Yarrowia lipolytica: one gene and its partners. The protein of the gene in region 3 binds, or shares a complex with, the protein of the main gene of each other region. Links are inferred from orthologs where the notes say so. Each region holds a gene or a part of one and is shown on either strand. Other genes may lie near its edges.

Region 1 (4,189 bases), on a different chromosome or scaffold from region 3:
TCTCGCCGTTGGAATTCGACACAAATAAACGGACAATTGATATCGACGAGACGGTGGCGAGGTTTGCTCTCAAAGTTCCGTCTCTGGGCGTCTTTCTGGGCGTGGATAAGGCTGGAGTAGTCTCGCTGGACAGTGTTGCCATCGGTACTCCGCAGCAGTTTACTTTCAAAAGAGAAAAAGGCGACGCGGGGGTTTCGTGGACGATAAAAACGTCCTATGATGCTTATATTGAGATCAAGAACGGTAAGATCAACCTTACTGAAGATGGAGCAAAAGCATCAAAGTTCACAGTAAGACTTCAATCGTCTCACAGAAAGAAGACCACGGCCGAAAAACAGGCGGTGACATACTATGCCATGAGTACAAAGGCCCTGGAGGAGCGTGCTGGAAGATCTCTTGATCCTGATGAGGTTGTCAAGTTGAAGAAGTCTAACAAGGAGGGTAATCTGAACGAGGCCTTGTTGGACCTGAGACAGAAAGGCAAGAGTGATACGTATTGCTAGAAATCTGGTTATGCGAGTGCCAAAAACTACCAAAAACTCCAAACTCCCTATCTATAAGCCATATTGTGTTCCGTCCTGTCTCCCACGAGCTTCTGGTCCTCACTACCCTCGACTTCTACCGTGAACACCTATCCTCCAATACTTGTACTCGTTTCTGTGGTTTGGTTTGGACATATGCATATAAATAAAAACTAACTAATCATCTCCTTACGCCGTCACAATAGCCCATTCACCTTCGGAACTAAGTACCTTCTCCACATCTTCCTTGGGCAGCTGTAAAGCTGTAGAAATAGCGTCAAAGTTTTTTGGCTGCTTTACGAGCTTGGCCAGGACTCCATCTACCTCCTCTTTCTTGATTCGCTCCTGATCAGGGCCCAGACCCACTCGTCGTCTTCCTCCCCGAGGAGTTGCGGAAACGTCCTGCACGTGTCTGTTTCTGTTGAAAGGAGTGATGCCTTCCAAAATGGGATATGAATGAGCTCTGTAAATAATACCCTTGATAACGCCAAAGGTGATGAAGCGCCGAATATCAATGTTGACGAGCTCCTTTTGGTTCTCTGCATACCAGTCGCCGAGAGTTTGGCCCTGATGCAACGACTTGTACAACTTGAACAGTTGTACAACGGAGGGAACAGTTCCTGACATGGAGTGAGAAGAAGAGAACGAGTTGGACCGCTGAGAAAGAGACGATGATGATGAGGTAGACAATGCAGATGTGGCCGACGAAGACAAAGGAGGAATACTCAAGTGCCCACTTTGATCTCTCATCTGGCGCTCATATCGTTGTCTGAAAGAAGTTGAGAGTTCATTCGAAAACAAGCTGGTTCGTGACATGTGTCGTTTTCTATTGAGTCCTGGAGCAGGCATCATGCCCCCGAGGGTTCCTGCAGGTGAAAAGACATAAGCCTGGCATTCTCGACCCATATCTGCGTCTTCAATGAAATCTCCAATGTCTGAGGTGGGAGCGTAAATGTTGGAGAACTGGAACAGGTCCACGATGATGATACATCTGTAGTACATGAGCTGCTGAATGCAATCCTTGGTGAGGTTGTAGTCTGCATCTGCGAGGTCTGCAATCCGACGAATGGAGTTGATCCCATTGATAAACGGCACAATCTTCTCCATGGTGGGATCCCAGTTTTCGTCCACCATTTGTTCCAGACGTACAGTTGCTATGGGAACGTACGACGCTCTGAGGTCTGGAGGCGACGGGAAAATGGGAAACAGTTTAATGTTGATGGCGTTGGAGTCGTTGATGGCCACGAGGCATTCCGAGTAGTTGTTTAGGTCCTGGAACAGCTGCTGGATGATATTGTCGATGAAGACAATGTCTGGTCGGGCCGACAGAAGTTTGCTCTGGATCTCCAGCGCCTCGAACATCTTGCCTATCCGTCTGATGGCTGCATCGTAGGCTCCCGAGGCTGACTCGTAGCTGAAGACGAATGCAAAGTTGAAAATGAACGAGTTTCGCGCGTACTCGTTGGAGTAGATGTGAACCGGGTACGAAGAGACTCGGTAGGCGTTACTTTTAATGGTTACGACGCGGTTGCACAGAGGCGGCTTGGGGATGACGTAGTTTTTCACCGCGTTGAAGGCCACCAGAGCTCCGGGCTGATCCAGAGATTCGGCATCAGGCACAATCGAGTCGCGGGGCACCTGAACCTCGACTCGTGGACCCTCGGTGGGATGGAACGTGGAGTAGAAAATGGCCAGAATCGGCGCAAAGCCGTAAAAGTCCATGTCGTGTGTTTGAGGTGAGGCTTAACGTGGTGAGGGTGATATGATATGTGGTGATGTCCCACCTGCATGATAACGATAGGCATTGTTGTGGGAGGGAGATGAGAGCAGTACAGGGAGTGATGGAGAGACGGTAGATAGAAGGGGGACACGACGCTTCAGTAAAATGAGGAAAAGAATTGAGCCTTCTATTTATTTTTTCAGAGAATGATAGGTGGAAGGTGCTGTTCAAGCAATCTAATCCATGCATTTGTTTGTTCACTATAGTTGAGTTAGTTCATGTGTAGTTGAATGTGACAAGTAGTTGAGCTACCTATAGTTGAGGAAGACAAGGCACCTGTAGTAGGACATATCCATGATATTACGTCACAGAGCCACAAGATATTTCTCAATTGATAGATACAGATCTAGAAGAAGCAATTGTATGTAATTAGATGTCCTAATACCATCTTACTATGCTGAGATGAGCCTTTTATTGATTTTTGAGGACTTGTTATTTTTGTCGGAAGTTTAGTTGAAGGAGGAAAATTCCAGTTCTGTAGCCGCGTACAATACACTCGCCTTCCAAAGAAAGCCGGTAAAAGTAATCACTATACTGTATAAGTTATGCCCGCATTCCAAGTTGTGCAATTGCACACTACCGTGTACATTCAGTATACGTTTTACTTTTTTCCTTTTTCTCCAACTACGTCATTTCACTGCGATAATACTCCAAGTATCTCTCGTGCTGTAGATTTTACTTGCAGCCTTACAAGCGAAGACATTCAGTGCATTCAGTGCGAGCTGATAAAAGACTCACCAGCACGAGTTGTTGCTATGACCGTTCCACGTTCATCATGCTGCGGCTTTCACGATTTATCGAGTGCTGATTTGCCACAGTGCACTATTTATTGCTCCTATAACACGAGCCTAGCACCCATCAACTGAGCTTCTTTCTCTTCCGCCTGAACTTGTCTTGCATCTGAGCTTCGAGCATCGCACTCGTAGCTCTCACGAACCACTTTACCGCCCACTGCCGCCGACATACCCCGCTCAATACGGATCAATTGGTGCGTGTGCAGGAGAGCAGCAGTAGCTCACAGCGACAGACAGCGACAGACAGCGACAGGCAGCGACAGGCATGCGTCTCATATGATATGACTAATTTACTCTGTACGTGCGGTGGATGTTCTGTATCGTATGAACAACCAGCGGTGAGACTTGGATTCAACGCCTTCAAGTTAGACTCAAAACAGTGTGCGGTTGTCGGATGTTGATCTGGGGTGTCAATTGGTCAATTGATGGCGTACGGAAACTGAGCGGCCAGACCACCGTCTCTTCCCAGCGCCAACACCTCGAATACTCCCGATCTGCTCTTGCACTCCTTGTGGCACCTTTGGCCCCGTCTTCTTCTGCGGGCAAAAAAACAAGCTTTACAACCCCAGACTTCGGATACTCTTCGGCCGAAGACTAGAGAGACCTGAAAAAGAGAGGTAATTGAGGCAGCAATGAACATGGGTCGGAACAGGCGGATTGCTCCCACAAGTGAAGGAATCGGAACCGTCACATAATACAGCACGAAACCAAGTCTTTGATTTGCCACCCGCCGCCACACATAGCCAATACAGCCAGTAATCCCTGGGGTGAGCCCTAACCCCAGCAGAGAACTCTAAGGAACTTTCCACCGCGAACCTTGGCCTGGGTATAAATTTTCGCCTTGTCCCAACCGCACATAGGTCGATTGATTCAAACCACCAAATTTCTCTCTACTACAAAAATGCAGCGAGTCATTGCACGATCCAGCCGTCTGCGACCCCAGCAGATCCGAGGCTTTGCTCACAAGGAGCTCAAGTTTGGCGTCGAGGGCCGAGCCGCTCTGCTCAAGGGTGTCGACACTCTGGCCAAGGCCGTCTCCGTCACTCTGGGCCCCAAGGGCCGAAACGTGCTCATTGAGCAGTCGTTTGGCTCCC
Region 2 (7,961 bases), about 2.3 Mb from region 3:
GATAGTGTCATGGCTTTGTAGTGTGTACCATGATATCGTACATCGTACATTGTACTTGTATGCTTATATCTCATGTCCTTGTACAATTAGTACCTCTCGTAAACCCACGATGACTCCTCCCTGAACACAGTTCTGTTTAGAGCTTGATGCAGTGTTCAACAAAATTACGTAGCGGTGATTTCCTGCTTATAAATAGCCGTTGTTGTTTTGATTCAACCGGTATCATTGGCCTGTCTCAGCCTTTGGATCCCATTTACCGGTCTTAGAACAGTTTCTTACACATGCCGGCCACTTATCTATGGTTGCTACACCTCTATATCCCGCACGTCGAGGCAGCCTTGGAAACTATCATCTCCAACTTTGATTGTGGACAAACACGTACTTGTACTCATACCAGAAAGAGAGAAACACGTACATACCCGTACATGAAGAGTGTGGGGAGAATTAGGACTCCGGTATGGCCATGTGGCTCATAATCTGTGTTTGTTAGTGGTCCAGTATGAATGTAAGTACAACAGGTACATACTGTAGATACATGAACTTCAAGTTGGGTACTTGCAAGAGAAGAGTGAAGCCATGTCATAACCGCTACTGACGCATTCGGTATTGCGTCTCAGTTGCGTCTCCGACACGTCGGACGAGCAAAACGTGGCATTTTACACACAAAGCGACCAAAGCCTTCTGAGCAACTGGCCGTCTACATTCCGGTGTTGATCAGTTCGAGCATAACGTGTGGGATTTAAGACGAAGATAAGATGGTGTATTAGCGTGGTAGAGACCTGGTCACGTGACATATACAAGGTGTGAAGGCAGGGCATCTCTGTGAAAGACCAGACCATTATCTCTTAAGACTACTGCCAACACAGCGTGTACACATACTCTTAGTCACCACATGGCCTCGGCTCAGTAGGACCCTGCCTGAACCTATTTTCGGACAATAGGGCTGAGCTCATAGCAAGCTTTTGCCTTTGGATGGGCGATCAATTAAACCTACACAGTGAAGTAGAAGGAACAAGTCCGAAAGCTCTTGAGTGAAACAGTGTGGTTATATGAAGCACTCTCAGTAAGCACTAATACTTCTATGGCTCAATGGGGTAATTCGTCCCGAGACTTCTACCTCTCCCGGGCCTGTTGAAGGTGATTCTGGTGAATACACTTAGGGGTTCGTTGAAACGAAGTGTGCTGGGGGTGACTTTTAGGCATCCCAGAGAGAAAAACGTTAGAGAAGAGCAGATAATTCAGGGGAACAAGTACGAAACGTGAAGATTTGTCTGAGAAAATTACCCATTGGCTTGAAAATCCACCGTATTGGTGGAGGGGTCGGAGTGCGAGGTGTTAGAGATCATTTTCAGAGTTTTGGTGGATGTTCTTTTGACGATAGCAAGATGAGAACATATCAACCGTCGAAATATGACACTGACGTTGATATTTGCAAAAAGAAGGCACATGATTGTCTTCCCCGGATATATCTGAATGATTCCAAAGTTTTTTTTTATTATTATAACGTGACTATTCTTCAAATTATTGTCCTGTCCATATTACTTGCTCCGAACAGCACCCGAAGTATTTGATTCCCTTAAGATTGCTCTAAATACCTGGTACAAGGGGGAAAGATTTGGTGTTATCAAAAGGGTAGCGTAATTGAACACAGCACATTGGGTGGAGAGTCCCTTCCACAAAATGTGAAAACAATAATTTCAACCTTCTCCCGCCCTCCTATGCCAAGTCTATCTAACAAATATAGTCAAGAAACCCAACTATATCCTCAAATTCTAAACTGCAAAGATCGTTTTAACAAGTTGGTCCCACTCCACGAATAATGGCATCACATAAATTTCAAAACCACCATTGAATTTCCCTTGCTCGTATCTTGAAATGTCATCCCTGAGTGTCATCTGATACACTCCCGATAACCCACAAATACCCCGCCAGCTCAAACTCTAGCTTACATAGATTAGGCGTGTTTCGGGAGCACCAAAACATCAGCCATAAAGATCACGACTTTACTTGACCAACCCCACAACACAGGACACCATAACATCAACGCCATGACGACATGGGTTTCGTTGCAGGCGTGGACACACGACCAGAAAACGTGCGCCGAAGAGGTCATTGTGGATGTGACATCGATTCCTGGCGCCTCGGAGGGCGATATCGCCGAGTTGAAGAGTGGTGACAAGAGCCATAAATTGTTGTTTCAGGTGACGCCCATTCCCCAGGAAGTTTTGGATCGAATTCCTACTTGTCAGGTGAGTCACACAAATTCCAAACGACTGACCAAAGGTCAGGACGCCAGCTAGCATTGCAGGGAGAGAGTATCTTGCAAGGAGTGCGCTAGACGATCGACGCAACTCGCACGAGCAACACAGAACAACATCAAGATAAGAACGAATCCACTGATTTCCAGATGTCATTGATTGAATGTGATCTCTAGTCGTGGGCACCAATCAAGATCATTGGTCCAATGCCTCTATCTCAATCAAGGCTTGGGTAGTGTTCATGGTTTGATCTGCTATCGTGTGTACTGCAACAAATCAATCCCACGAACGCTCCTTCTAGCAATGGGTCTAATGGTTGGAAAGTCGTATTTCATTCTGTGGAGTGACTATGGCTTCTTGTGCAACTGTGTGTCTGCCTACCTGTGGCACACGGTTGTCTGGTCATTCCAGAAGTCGCTCTGTGTGGAAGCTCGTCTCATACATCACCTTACTACATTTTATATTGAAGGTGTTTCTTGTTTTTCTTACCTCATTTCATCTATTAACGCAGCTCTCTATCAAATCAGGTAACCTGCTTTCCTCTCTCGGGGTAGCTGCCCGATCACAGGTCCAAATCAAACTGCGCAAAAAGGAACAGGTGGAAGCCGACCTGGTGGAAATTTGCTTCAAGGAAACTTACCTGACCCGAGCAGACATGTGGCAGATCACAACCATGCTGCGGGAAAGTTGCGTGTACCACCAGAAACGAATAGTCTTTTGTGACGTGATTCGATGCTGGGTCGATAGCATTTTCAAGAATGGCCGCAAGGTGTTTTCTGCTTACATTGGGCCCAACACCAACATTGTGTTTCGGTCCGAGTCGTCCCGTATGATCATCATCATCCAACTAAGTCAGGAAACGTGGCATTTTGAGGAGACTGGCGAAATCATCTTCCACAGAATGGTCAATTCGCTTCTCCCTGATATTTTCAAGCAATGGGAAGAGAATGAACACCACCATACAGTGACTATTGTGCTGTTCACATCAGTTTCCATGGATTCTCATGCAGTCAAGCTAAAGCGCGGAGAGAAAGCAAAAGACGTACAGGACTTCTACAGAGTAGTCTGCGATCAGGTCCAACTGTCTCAATGGGAGCAGATCATGGTGCGATTGAGATTCGAGTTCCAGAACTTTGCCAAGGAGGTTCTGACGGAATCCCATGCCAAAAGCCATACTGAAATCCGAGGACGCATTCTACCCTCGGTCAAGAGCAACATTTTGGGTGCGATCACCCTCGCGGCGTCTCTGGTACATTCACCGGCCATTGACAGAGACCTAAGGAGAACCAATGTGGAGGTTATTGTGGTGTCACCAGGTTCTGGAGTCTATGAAGTTGAGTACGATGCTCTATATAGAGCGTCGGAGAAGATTTCATCCACTGAGGTTGGAGTAGACATCATTTGCATGTCCAAGGCTCCTCTACATGTGACACCTTTGTTTCTCTACAAACCGAAGAAGTGCTCGAATCAGCTTGAGTACTGTGTTCCTTCTTGGATTGATATTTCTTACTATGGAGACTCGGACTTTTTTACCAATCAGTGGGTCCCTCGGTGCAAAATCTACGAGATCCAAATGATGGGAGTCATGGAAAACGAGCTCTCGGCTATCACGATTGACTATCTGAACAAACCCAGCGGAAAGAAGCCGCTGTCAGAGTACTGTCGCGAGTACGATGCTTCGTTGTTTGGCCCAATCGCTGTAGAACTGTCTGTGGAGGATGCTGCATCTGTGGTGTCCAAGATGCGGTCCGATACGTTCCCCAAGCTGCCTGTGAAACAGCTTCTTAGCAGCAAGGGCAGTATCTCTTCTTTGCATGCACCCACAGCTGTCACCTCCAAAACTCCTCCTCCTAAGGCATCAGTGAAGGTGGCTGATGTGAGGCCCAGCCCAGCGGCGTCCAAACCCCGTGTCAGTGCTCTGACGTCTCTTTTGGCGTTTGGAGTTAGGGCAGAAAAGAGTGCTCCTGCTTCTCCCGCTTTGTCTGCTGTCAACACATTGTCTTCTATCCAGTCTATGGACTTGAGACGTGATAATGACAGTGTTAAACGAGACACTGAGAGCATAGTAACAGACGACACTGTCCACAATACCAAGGCTGAGCCTAGAATAACAGAGATTGCGCCCATAGCACCTTCTCTGCCTTTTGCACCCAATCTCAAGCCAAAAAAGAGCACTTCTACCCTTTCTCAGTCTCCCACCTACAACCGAATTGCAGCTACACCTGACCAGGAGGTCGAACGGCGGTCTTCTCTCAGCCAAAAGGTGCAAATGGGACTCTCGGGTTCTCCTCTAGACCACAGAGGCAAGGTAGCCAAGGCTGCATCGGCCAATGCCAAGTCTATCAACACAGAAACTACGCCTGAGAAGAGAAACATGATGTGGAGGAACATCAGAACACCGTCCAACATTTCCCAGGACGAAATGCTCGACATTCTAACTTACTCTCGATGGAGAACGGTATATCCTCAGAAGACCAAGCGTCGGTCGGCCAAATGGAAGCTTCTGGCTTCTCCAGCCGCACTACCTCTTCGAACCAATATCTTTCCCACCGTGGCAGAACTCCAGACAGAGTACCGGTTCCAGGTGTACGATGTGAGTTTGGACACAGATATGGAGAATGTGCTGGGTATCCATGGCTTGTTCCGAGAGATGGTGAGTGTCCGGCTCTGCAAGGGCTTCCAGCTTGCTATTGGATCCCGTGTACGCCACGTGGAGTCTCAGAGAAGCGATGGTCGGCCTTCAGCTATCACCACAGACATTGGGAAAGATGCTCTAGGAGCTGTGGTGTATCTCACTACCGGTGATCAAGTTCACCGAATCTCCTGTGACTACTCTGGCATGATGAATGTCCAGATTTATCATGCTATTGATAAGGTAGATATTGAGGAGCCCGTTTTCGACATATATGCTCGTCGAACCTACTCGGACAAGTTCAAGCATTTCATATTCCCACCGTTCGACACTTCCTCTAAGCGACTGAACTGGAACTTGTATGACCATTCACTTGCTGGGTACGATACGGCAGGTTCTGCAGCCACTCAGACCCGTTTGAACCAGCTGCGGGTGGTTCTGATCCCCAGTTTCTTGTCGCGATCCAAGAATCTCGGTCATGACGACTCCTCAGAAGTGTACAATGCCGAGGAGGTCCGATTGGATGGTTTGCGACGCATTCTTGGAGGTATTTACCGCCATAGCATCTCCCGAGATGAGGATAAGGAGCGAGCCAAGATCGCACCCAACCTCAAGTTTTACACTGGCGAGTTGGAGGACTTTTTATTTCAGATTGTGGAGTCTAATCCAGCTGAATTGGCTGGTGGTAGAGATTCTCTTTTTATGAAACGTAATCAGCGATTCGACAAGAACATCAAGCTGGCTCAGCTGGCGACTGAGCTTCAGGCTCCCAAGGGTGGCATCCGATTTTTTGACCGACGATGGCACTGGAAGTCATACCCTCACTGTTTCATTGGTCAGGATTTCGTCGAGTGGCTGATTGACAATTACTCCGACATTGACACTCCTGATGAAGCTGTGGCGTATGGAAACGAGCTGATGAAGAAGGACTTCTTCGTGCACGTTGAAGACCGACATGCTTTCCTTGATGGTCATTACTTCTACCAGCTCAAGAGTGAGTATGCCACTGAAGCCACTGACAGCAAGCCTGCGGAGGAGAAGAGTGGCTGGTTCAACAGTAAGCGAAGTATGGCCTCCGTCAGTTCAGAGAAGTCATTGGGACGGTTTAAAGGCTCTCGAAATCAGTCTGTTCAGTCGTTTGGTGACTTCCTGTCCCTTTCTCGAGTCACTTCCAGGTCTTCGAACGACCAGAAGGAAGAGGAAATCAACCCAATCACCGTGGAGATTTCCAAGTCTGTGCGTGTTGATCTGGATCCTTCCAAGAAGTCGTATCGACCAGAGACCGTGTTGATTCACCACGATCGAATCCACAACCCCCGGAAGTGTTTCCATCTGCGATTCGAATGGGCCAACACCACCCCCAAGTTCATTGAGGACTACATTTCTGGTCTCACTCGAACTTGTGAGCGATACGGACTCAAGTTGGTCGAGTTGCCCATTCTCGAAGTGTCTGCTCTTCTCGAACACAACCCCTTTGCTTCAGAGATCACTCTGGACATGCCTACTCTGGACCAGCTGAGCGGACTGCCTCCCCATGTGCTGGAATACTACGCTAGCGACCCTCATGCGATTGCACGCGAGATTCTGCATCATTTCGGCTTTGTGATCGACACTCTGAGTATGTCTGACTGGAAGCTTGCTGAAGTGCAGATCCGGAACTCGTGGGGTGTGCCCACTTATAAGTACAGTCAATGGGTTGAGAAGAATGGTCTGTTGATTGCTCAGGTGGTCGGTGATCAGATTATCATGATCCCCAACAACCTGCAGCTCAATCGTCAGTCTGGAGCTCAGTCAAATGCCATTCAGCTGCAGAGTGAGGCTCAGGGTATCATTCTGGAGATGCAGTATCTCATGTGTCGGTCTGAAAAGGTGCGGGATATGCTTGGTAAGGTGAACTTGTCCCCTGAGGCATCTCCTGGCACCATGACTCCGGGGGAGGAGGGCTCCAAGAACGGTACCCCGAAGCTAGCAATTGAGGCCAAGATGGAGGGCCGAGTTGAAAGTCCTCAAGTTGAGTGGAGGGAGGACGTGGAGATTGCCCCAGAAGTTGAGCACAAGGGCGGAGCTGATGGTGATGAAAATGATGAGGAAGGTGATGAGAAATCCGAGGAGGGTGACAAGGGCGAGAGTGAGAATGAGAACGCAGGTATGGGGATGGAGCAAGATGGTGAGAACGAGAATGAGAACGAGAATGAGAACGAGAACAGCAAGGACAACAAGGCGAACGAAACCACCTCCGAGGTCAAGGAGGTCCCTGCTGGTGTTGAAATTGAACACAAGGAACATGTCGAAGAGGATAAGAGTGACGGGCCTGAGCCGAAGAAGGAAGATAAAGGCAAAGAGGTTGAAGACGACAAATAGGTTATATTTATTCATGGTATTTGAAAAACGTCGAGTATTGGTCTATAGTAATTAAGGAATTGTATGAGCTACTGAACATACTAGTACCGTATGTAGTTCACAGTTCTATGGGTCGTATAAACTTATATTTGCTAGTTACAATCGTGGTTTCATCCCATCTAGGGTATGATACTGTTCGCCTGCGCTAACTTCCTATTTGGCAAGTCGCTGGGCAGCCTTGAAAACGTCGGCAAGAACACCAGCAGCAGTGACCTCGTCTCCAGCACCAGCTCCCTGGATGACCAGAGGGTTGGGGTATCGCTTGGTCTTGAAGGCGATAATGTTATCGGAGCCCTTGAGGGAGGCAAAGGGATGAGAGGCATCGTACTTCTGAATACCAACCTCGACCTTGCCGGTGCCCTTGTTGATGGAACCGACGAATCGGAGAACCTTCTTCTCGGCGAAAGCCTCGTCTCGAAGCTTAGCAAGGTCGGCGTCATACTCGGGGAGCTTCTGGAGGAACTCATCGGCGGAAGAGGCAGTCTCGAGGGGCTTGGGAATCAGGGACTGAACAGGGAAGGCAGTGGGAGACTCCACGTCGAAGCCAGAGAGTCGAGCCAGAATGGTGACCTTTCGGGCGACATCCAGACCATTGAGATCCTCTCGGGGATCGGGCTCGGTGTATCCGAGCTGCTTGGCCTTGGTGACAACGTCGGAGAACTTAACGTCAG
Region 3 (5,838 bases):
GCCGATGCCCAGCAGTTGATGGTGGCGTCTGGAGCCATCCAGTCAAGTGGAAGCATGGCTCTGATCTCCATCATGGACCCTGCTATCTCCCTTGGAGTCGCCTACTTGGCCTACACTCTCTACGTTGACCCTCAGAGGCGAGCAGATCTGCTGCACATGTACGAGTCGCTTCCTCAGTTGGCTCTTCAATGTTGTGGAAATGTATCGCAAGATGGAACGGGGCTTCTTTCCCTGGAAAACCTGGGTCTGATGGAGGGTGAGAGCTCTATAATACACTCACACAGATGCGTCACTAGAACTGCGTCTCACAAGAATTGCCATTCTAAAGTCTCCACCCGCTTAAGTAGTAAAATGCGAATTAATATGTACAAACTTCTCCTCTCAATCGGAACGCTCTCTGCCGATTGTCCTTCATTCTGAGTCCTCGTCTCAGGTAGTTAATAATGAGCGAAAACCGCCGCAGGGTCTCGGCATGCACCCGCGCAGTGATGGACTCCTCATACTCGGGCACCCGTCGCTTGCGCGACTCCAACGTCTTGTAGCAGTCTCGCTCAATGTCCTCCATTGCCTTGATCAAGGCTCGAGATTTGATATTCATCAACGCAATGTCTGACGCGAGCACCGACAGCGTGGAAAGATCTCGGTAGAACTCCCACACAATCCTGATCATAGTGAAGTACACGTCTGTGGACACGGTAGCAAAGTAGAGGTTGCCGGAACGGGTTTTGACGGCGTCAAACAGAGCCACGGAGTCAGCAGGGGACTCGAACTTCTCCACCAGAAGCTGCAGAGACTCGTTGAGCAGAAGAGGGAACCCGGCAGCCACAGGCGGCAGTTCAGAGGGGAGGTTTTTTCTGCTCTGGCCAATGTCCTCGATCTCATCGAGCTGCTTGTTCATGAACTCAAGAATATCGTAGTCAGAATCCAATCGAATCAGCTTCTTGAGTTGCTCCATCATAGCAATTTCCACCTCGGTACATTCCTTGAGATCCAGAGAATCAATCCGATCATGTCGAACATCCATATCGGGCTCGGCACAGATCTCAACAAACATGTCAGGAACACCAGAGTTGAACAGATTCACATATGGCGAGTTGATAGAGGAAAGCTCGACTCCACTGGCTTGTCTGATAGCATCCAAGTTTGCGGTTTCACGGGACTCGTACTCAGACTCATGTGACATTGGTGGCGTTCCTGCTCCTGTTGCTGTCTCCGTAGCCGCTTCTTCCCCCATAACTTTTGCAAAAATCTTTTCAAACGGCGCAGAGCTCCCCAGAGCTCCTCCAAACTCGGACGGGGGAATAACGTGTGTACTTATTTGGTCGCTGTTGCCTCTCAACGGCGACATATCCAGGTTCTGGGGCATGACATATCGGTTCTTAGGCTCTTCGGGGAACATATCAGACTTTCCCCATTGATCGAATCCGCCGGACCAGTCGAACGTGGCATTGTTGTGATCGTCTTGGCCAAGCGCGTCGAATGCCTTGGTCTCGTCCTCCATGGCATCGAATTTGAATCGGTTGGTCTTGTTAAATCCGGAGCTGAAATCGTCGAAACCGATATCTGAGCTGTCCAGGTTGTCGTCGTTGAAAGAGAACTTGCTAAATGTCAGGGGATCGTCGCCCTGCTCTTTCGTGGCTTTCTTGAATGCAGCAAACGGGTCCTTGAACGAACCCCTAGCCTTGGTGGAGGGAGGTTCAAACTCGCCAATAAAGGTGTCTTCATAGTCGGATTTTTTTCGCAGCACGTAGGCCGAGTGCAGGAGCCGCGTCTGCCGGCCTGTACAAACCTTGTACTGTGCTCTGAGCATTTTTGAGAGCAGTGTCGGAGTAGCGGAGACACTGAAAACGGTGTTGAAAATCAGGTGCATAAAAAAATGATTTGAGATGCACACTGTAACCTTGTTTAGTAGCTAATCTTCCAGCTACGTTTAGTTGGGATATTACTTGGCTTTTTAATTGACTAGTTGATGGTGTGGAGGACTACACTGTCAGTTCTACAGACGATTGTGGGTTTTTGCTGAGTCGAAAATCTTGTCGAATGACCCTCGCTGTCGTTTATACGTCTTACCCCTTGGGCTATCTCGTATACTCTCCTACTGCTAAGCAAAACACATTGTGTTCTCCAGCCCGAATCGAACTCACGATAACATCCGACTCTAGGCGCCATGCACTATCATTATCACCCTACATCTCCGGACTACATCACAGCATCCCCGGATTTCGACAAGCAGAGTCGACCCAGGGCCCAAACCAAGACGCGACATAGCTACATCTCTGCTGACCTCACCGCTACTTTCAGAATTCGAAGCGGACGTAAATTGACGATTCTACGAGCCAATACCCAACTCAGGTCATCCCCAACAAGATGACGACTTTTGGATCAATCGCTCACGCGTACCAATGGGACTCTCTTCCTGGTCCCGGCGTCGACGGACACCACATCATCGGCGTGTCGCCTACCCGAGACGAGGTGTCGCTTTACCAACTTCCCCTCAATCACAAATCGTTCTTCAAAGACAGCTTCACCGAGCCAGAGAAGATCAGGTATCGAAGCGGCTTTTCGGCGATCCACTGCTCGGCATACTCGCCCGTCAACAAGGGCATCATTTCTGTGGCGCAGCTCAACGGATCGGTGCTTCTATTCGACATCAACAACCCCGAGTCGCAGGTGGTCAAACTACGCTCCAAACAGAGCCGAACCTGCAACGCTCTAGCCTTCTCTGACAATGGAATTCTCGCGGCGGGACTGGAAAAGACACGTAACGACAACTGCCTGCATATCTGGGACGTCAATGCTGTTGTGGAGGGCGGCAATATCACTCCTCTCAGCACCTATCTCCCGAACGAGATTGTGTCGAGTCTGGAGTTCATCCCCAGGACTCATAACGTGCTCTGTGGCTCATACAAGCTGTTGCGTGAAATCGACACCAGATCCGGAACTCCTCTGTACCAGTGTGCCACTCGATGCACTCTAGGAATCACCACCTACCCCCACGAACCCAACTACTTTGCATCCTACGGAGAAGATGGAAGCATGGCCGTCTGGGATCGACGTCAACTGCGACAGCCCGGAGGAAACTCGTCAAACGAGCCGATGCTACTATTTCCACGTCTTCTTTCCGAACTCCCCAGAAAAGCGAACGCTACTCACTTGAGATATTGCACCACCAGACGGGGAGAAATGACCGTCTATGGAAACACAGACTCGTCCATTCGTCGAATCGATATCGGTCTGGCTGTTCGAAGTGATGATGACGTGTATCAGAATCAACAGAACAACGAGCCCACATCAAGTACGTCTCAGAATCGGTTTTTCGACTTCCAAAAGCCACCGTCTGACCCCACAGCTTCTCTTGACAAATACCTGTTTGTGCGGTCGTCCAAGGACGTGGAGATGCCGCTCGACAAGCTTCTGGGCTTCGACTACATCCACGCCGAGCCTGAAAAGTGTCCTGTCGAATACATTTGCATGCGACGAACAGGCCAGGTGTACTGTTTCCGGCCCAAGGAGTCGCCCGAGGTTCTGCGGTTCGATCCCCTGAACACCCTCACGTTCAGCAATGCCACGAACGTGTTTTTTGAGACGCCCAGTGATGAAGTCCGAGAAGTCGATTTCAAAAATCAGCGCGAATCTGTCGTTTCGGTGGTTTCTCCAGACGTGTCTTCTGACGAAGAAGAGCCCTCCCCACGTGCTCGTAACTACAGCAACGACTCTCAGATCGGGCTGATGAAGCTCAGAGACATTTTGGATAACGACATCTCCACCATCATTCGAAAACGAGCTCTGGCCGGCTACGGACTCGACACTGCTACCAACAAGAGTCTGCTCAAGAGCCACAATCACAGTCTCTGGCCTGCCCATCTGAAAAACACGTGGAAGTGGATTTCGCGGGCCCAAAAGGCCGATATTGACCGGTCAGTTGTCTCTGAATTCTTTGACCTTGGCTACGAGGGCATTCTGGACGTGTGGCAGGGTGTCCAGGGTCTTGCTCTGCAGCAGAATCGATTATTGAAAAAGGACGCTACGGAGTCCCAGTTTGCCCAGGCTATTCAGCTGGCGATGGAGACGGAGTTCACACGCAAGATTTACATCTCCGCGTCTGTGGCGGGCACAAAGAAGCAGTTCCAACGACAACTATGCTTGTATGTTGCTGGTTGGGATTTCTCCTACGACAAGCTTGAAGCCGAGATCCAGAAAGCCGAAGGTAAGGGCGAGTACGAGAAGGCAGCAGGTTGGGCGGTGTTCCATGGCAACGTGGAGCGAGCTGTCCAGTGTCTTGCTGGGTCCAAGAAGGAGCGGCATCGAATCATTTCGACCGCCATTTCAGGATATCTGTCTCAATCTACAAATGCCAACTCTTCCTGGCGAGAGCAGTGTCGACGGCTTGCTTCTGAGCTGGACAATGCCTATTTTCGGGCCATTTTCGCCTATATAGCCGATGGAGACTGGCTGGATGTGCTTGCTGAGTCTTCTTTGCCTCTCAAGGAACGCCTGGGTGTGGCTCTTCGGTTCCTTCCCGACAATGATCTCACCAGTTATCTGAACCGACTGGGGGATCAGGCTGTTAGCAGAGGAGAGCTGGAAGGCATTATTTTGACCGGAATCACTCCCCGGGCAGTTGATCTGCTACAGTCTTATGTGGATCGAACTGGTGATATCCAAACGGCAGCGCTGTTGACCTCGTTTGGAGCTCCTCGGTTCTTTGAGGATGAGCGGTACTCGCAGTGGATTCTGTCGTACCAGCAGCTGCTCAACCAGTGGGGAATGTTCAAGGAACGTGCTTTGTTTGATATTGCGCGTACCAAGCTGAGCCAGAATTCCTCTGGATCGGTTACTGCGGTCACCAAGCCTCGACAGGTGTTTCTTCGGTGCTCATACTGCAACAAGAACATTTTCAAGGACGAGTCTAAGCCCGCAACTACGTCTACTCCATCTGCAAAGTGCCCGCATTGCAACTCGCCTCTTCCTCGGTGTGCCGTGTGTCTGCTGACCATGGGAGAAGCTATGCCAGACACCCGCGTTGAGCAGGAGAAGAACAACTTTGCTTTCCACCAGTTTTCGCATTGGTTCAGCTTCTGTCTGAGCTGCAATCATGGCATGCATGCGGGTCATGTGCAGAAATGGTTTTCCAAGCACGATGTTTGTCCTGTTCCGAATTGCAGCTGTTTGTGTAACAGTATTTAACTGGATGGCAATCGGAACGAGTCAACGGAACAAAAAGCCCCTGGTCATGAGTCGACAACTTCCCCAAACCCCACCTCACTGTCCAACCGCTTCTTACTTAACGAATCAACTTATTATTGAAGAATGTGTTTACCTTCTTGATATGGGATCATGGAGCATATACAAGTACATAATGTACTAGAATTCTCGGCTTAGATCCTCCACATACATGCAAGGCCTTGTTGGGTGCTCCTGAAACACCTCTGCGAGTTCCCTGAACTGTTGGAGATGTTGCCTACAGGAGCTCGAAGAAGATATCGATGGGGGGAATGGTACAAGGTCGGAAACGGACCATAGAGGGCTACATGCTTGGTGAGCCTGTTATTGGCGTGTGCAAGACTGGCCAATTGTGTTGTGGCATTCTGGAGAGATATCGAGATGTCCACACACGGGTTGCTGGTGGCTTAGGTAATTATATGCCTACAGTATTTACTTGTAACAATACTGTAGCTTACTTCTAAATCATTTTTATTCAATTAATCTTCAACTAAGACTCTGGTGAGTCAACTAATTAATCTAGTGAGACTGAACATACAATCGCACTATCTCGAACACTAGCGAGGGATATTTGAACAACTAATAGAGAACGACTAAGCCGACAATAAAAACTAC

The links.
Region 1: YALI1_D23693g (region 3) and YALI1_F04027g share a complex: the UniProt entries of both Saccharomyces cerevisiae proteins name them as parts of the SEA complex. The link is inferred for Yarrowia lipolytica from reciprocal best matches to the Saccharomyces cerevisiae genes SEA4 and NPR2.
Region 2: YALI1_D23693g (region 3) and YALI1_D01123g share a complex: the UniProt entries of both Saccharomyces cerevisiae proteins name them as parts of the SEA complex. The link is inferred for Yarrowia lipolytica from reciprocal best matches to the Saccharomyces cerevisiae genes SEA4 and IML1.

What each region holds. Positions count from the first base shown.
Region 1 is NC_090775.1:400,510-404,698, forward strand, and holds YALI1_F04027g (uncharacterized protein), read right to left. Parts: upstream 2,244-4,189; coding exon 711-2,243; downstream 1-710. Other genes in the region: YALI1_F04001g (uncharacterized protein), read left to right, coding at 1-503; YALI1_F04045g (uncharacterized protein), read left to right, coding at 3,997-4,189. UniProt on the Saccharomyces cerevisiae protein: Component of the SEA complex which coats the vacuolar membrane and is involved in intracellular trafficking, autophagy, response to nitrogen starvation, and amino acid biogenesis. Mediates inactivation of the TORC1 complex in response to amino acid starvation.
Region 2 is NC_090773.1:110,339-118,299, forward strand, and holds YALI1_D01123g (uncharacterized protein), read left to right. Parts: upstream 1-2,048; coding exon 2,049-2,249; intron 2,250-2,769; coding exon 2,770-7,251; downstream 7,252-7,961. Other genes in the region: YALI1_D01188g (uncharacterized protein), read right to left, coding at 7,444-7,961. UniProt on the Saccharomyces cerevisiae protein: Component of the SEA complex which coats the vacuolar membrane and is involved in intracellular trafficking, autophagy, response to nitrogen starvation, and amino acid biogenesis.
Region 3 is NC_090773.1:2,366,897-2,372,734, forward strand, and holds YALI1_D23693g (uncharacterized protein), read left to right. Parts: upstream 1-2,367; coding exon 2,368-5,187; downstream 5,188-5,838. Other genes in the region: YALI1_D23668g (uncharacterized protein), read left to right, coding at 1-244, 297-343; YALI1_D23688g (uncharacterized protein), read right to left, coding at 359-1,870; YALI1_D23721g (uncharacterized protein), read left to right, coding at 5,234-5,361, 5,437-5,542. UniProt on the Saccharomyces cerevisiae protein: Component of the SEA complex which coats the vacuolar membrane and is involved in intracellular trafficking, autophagy, response to nitrogen starvation, and amino acid biogenesis.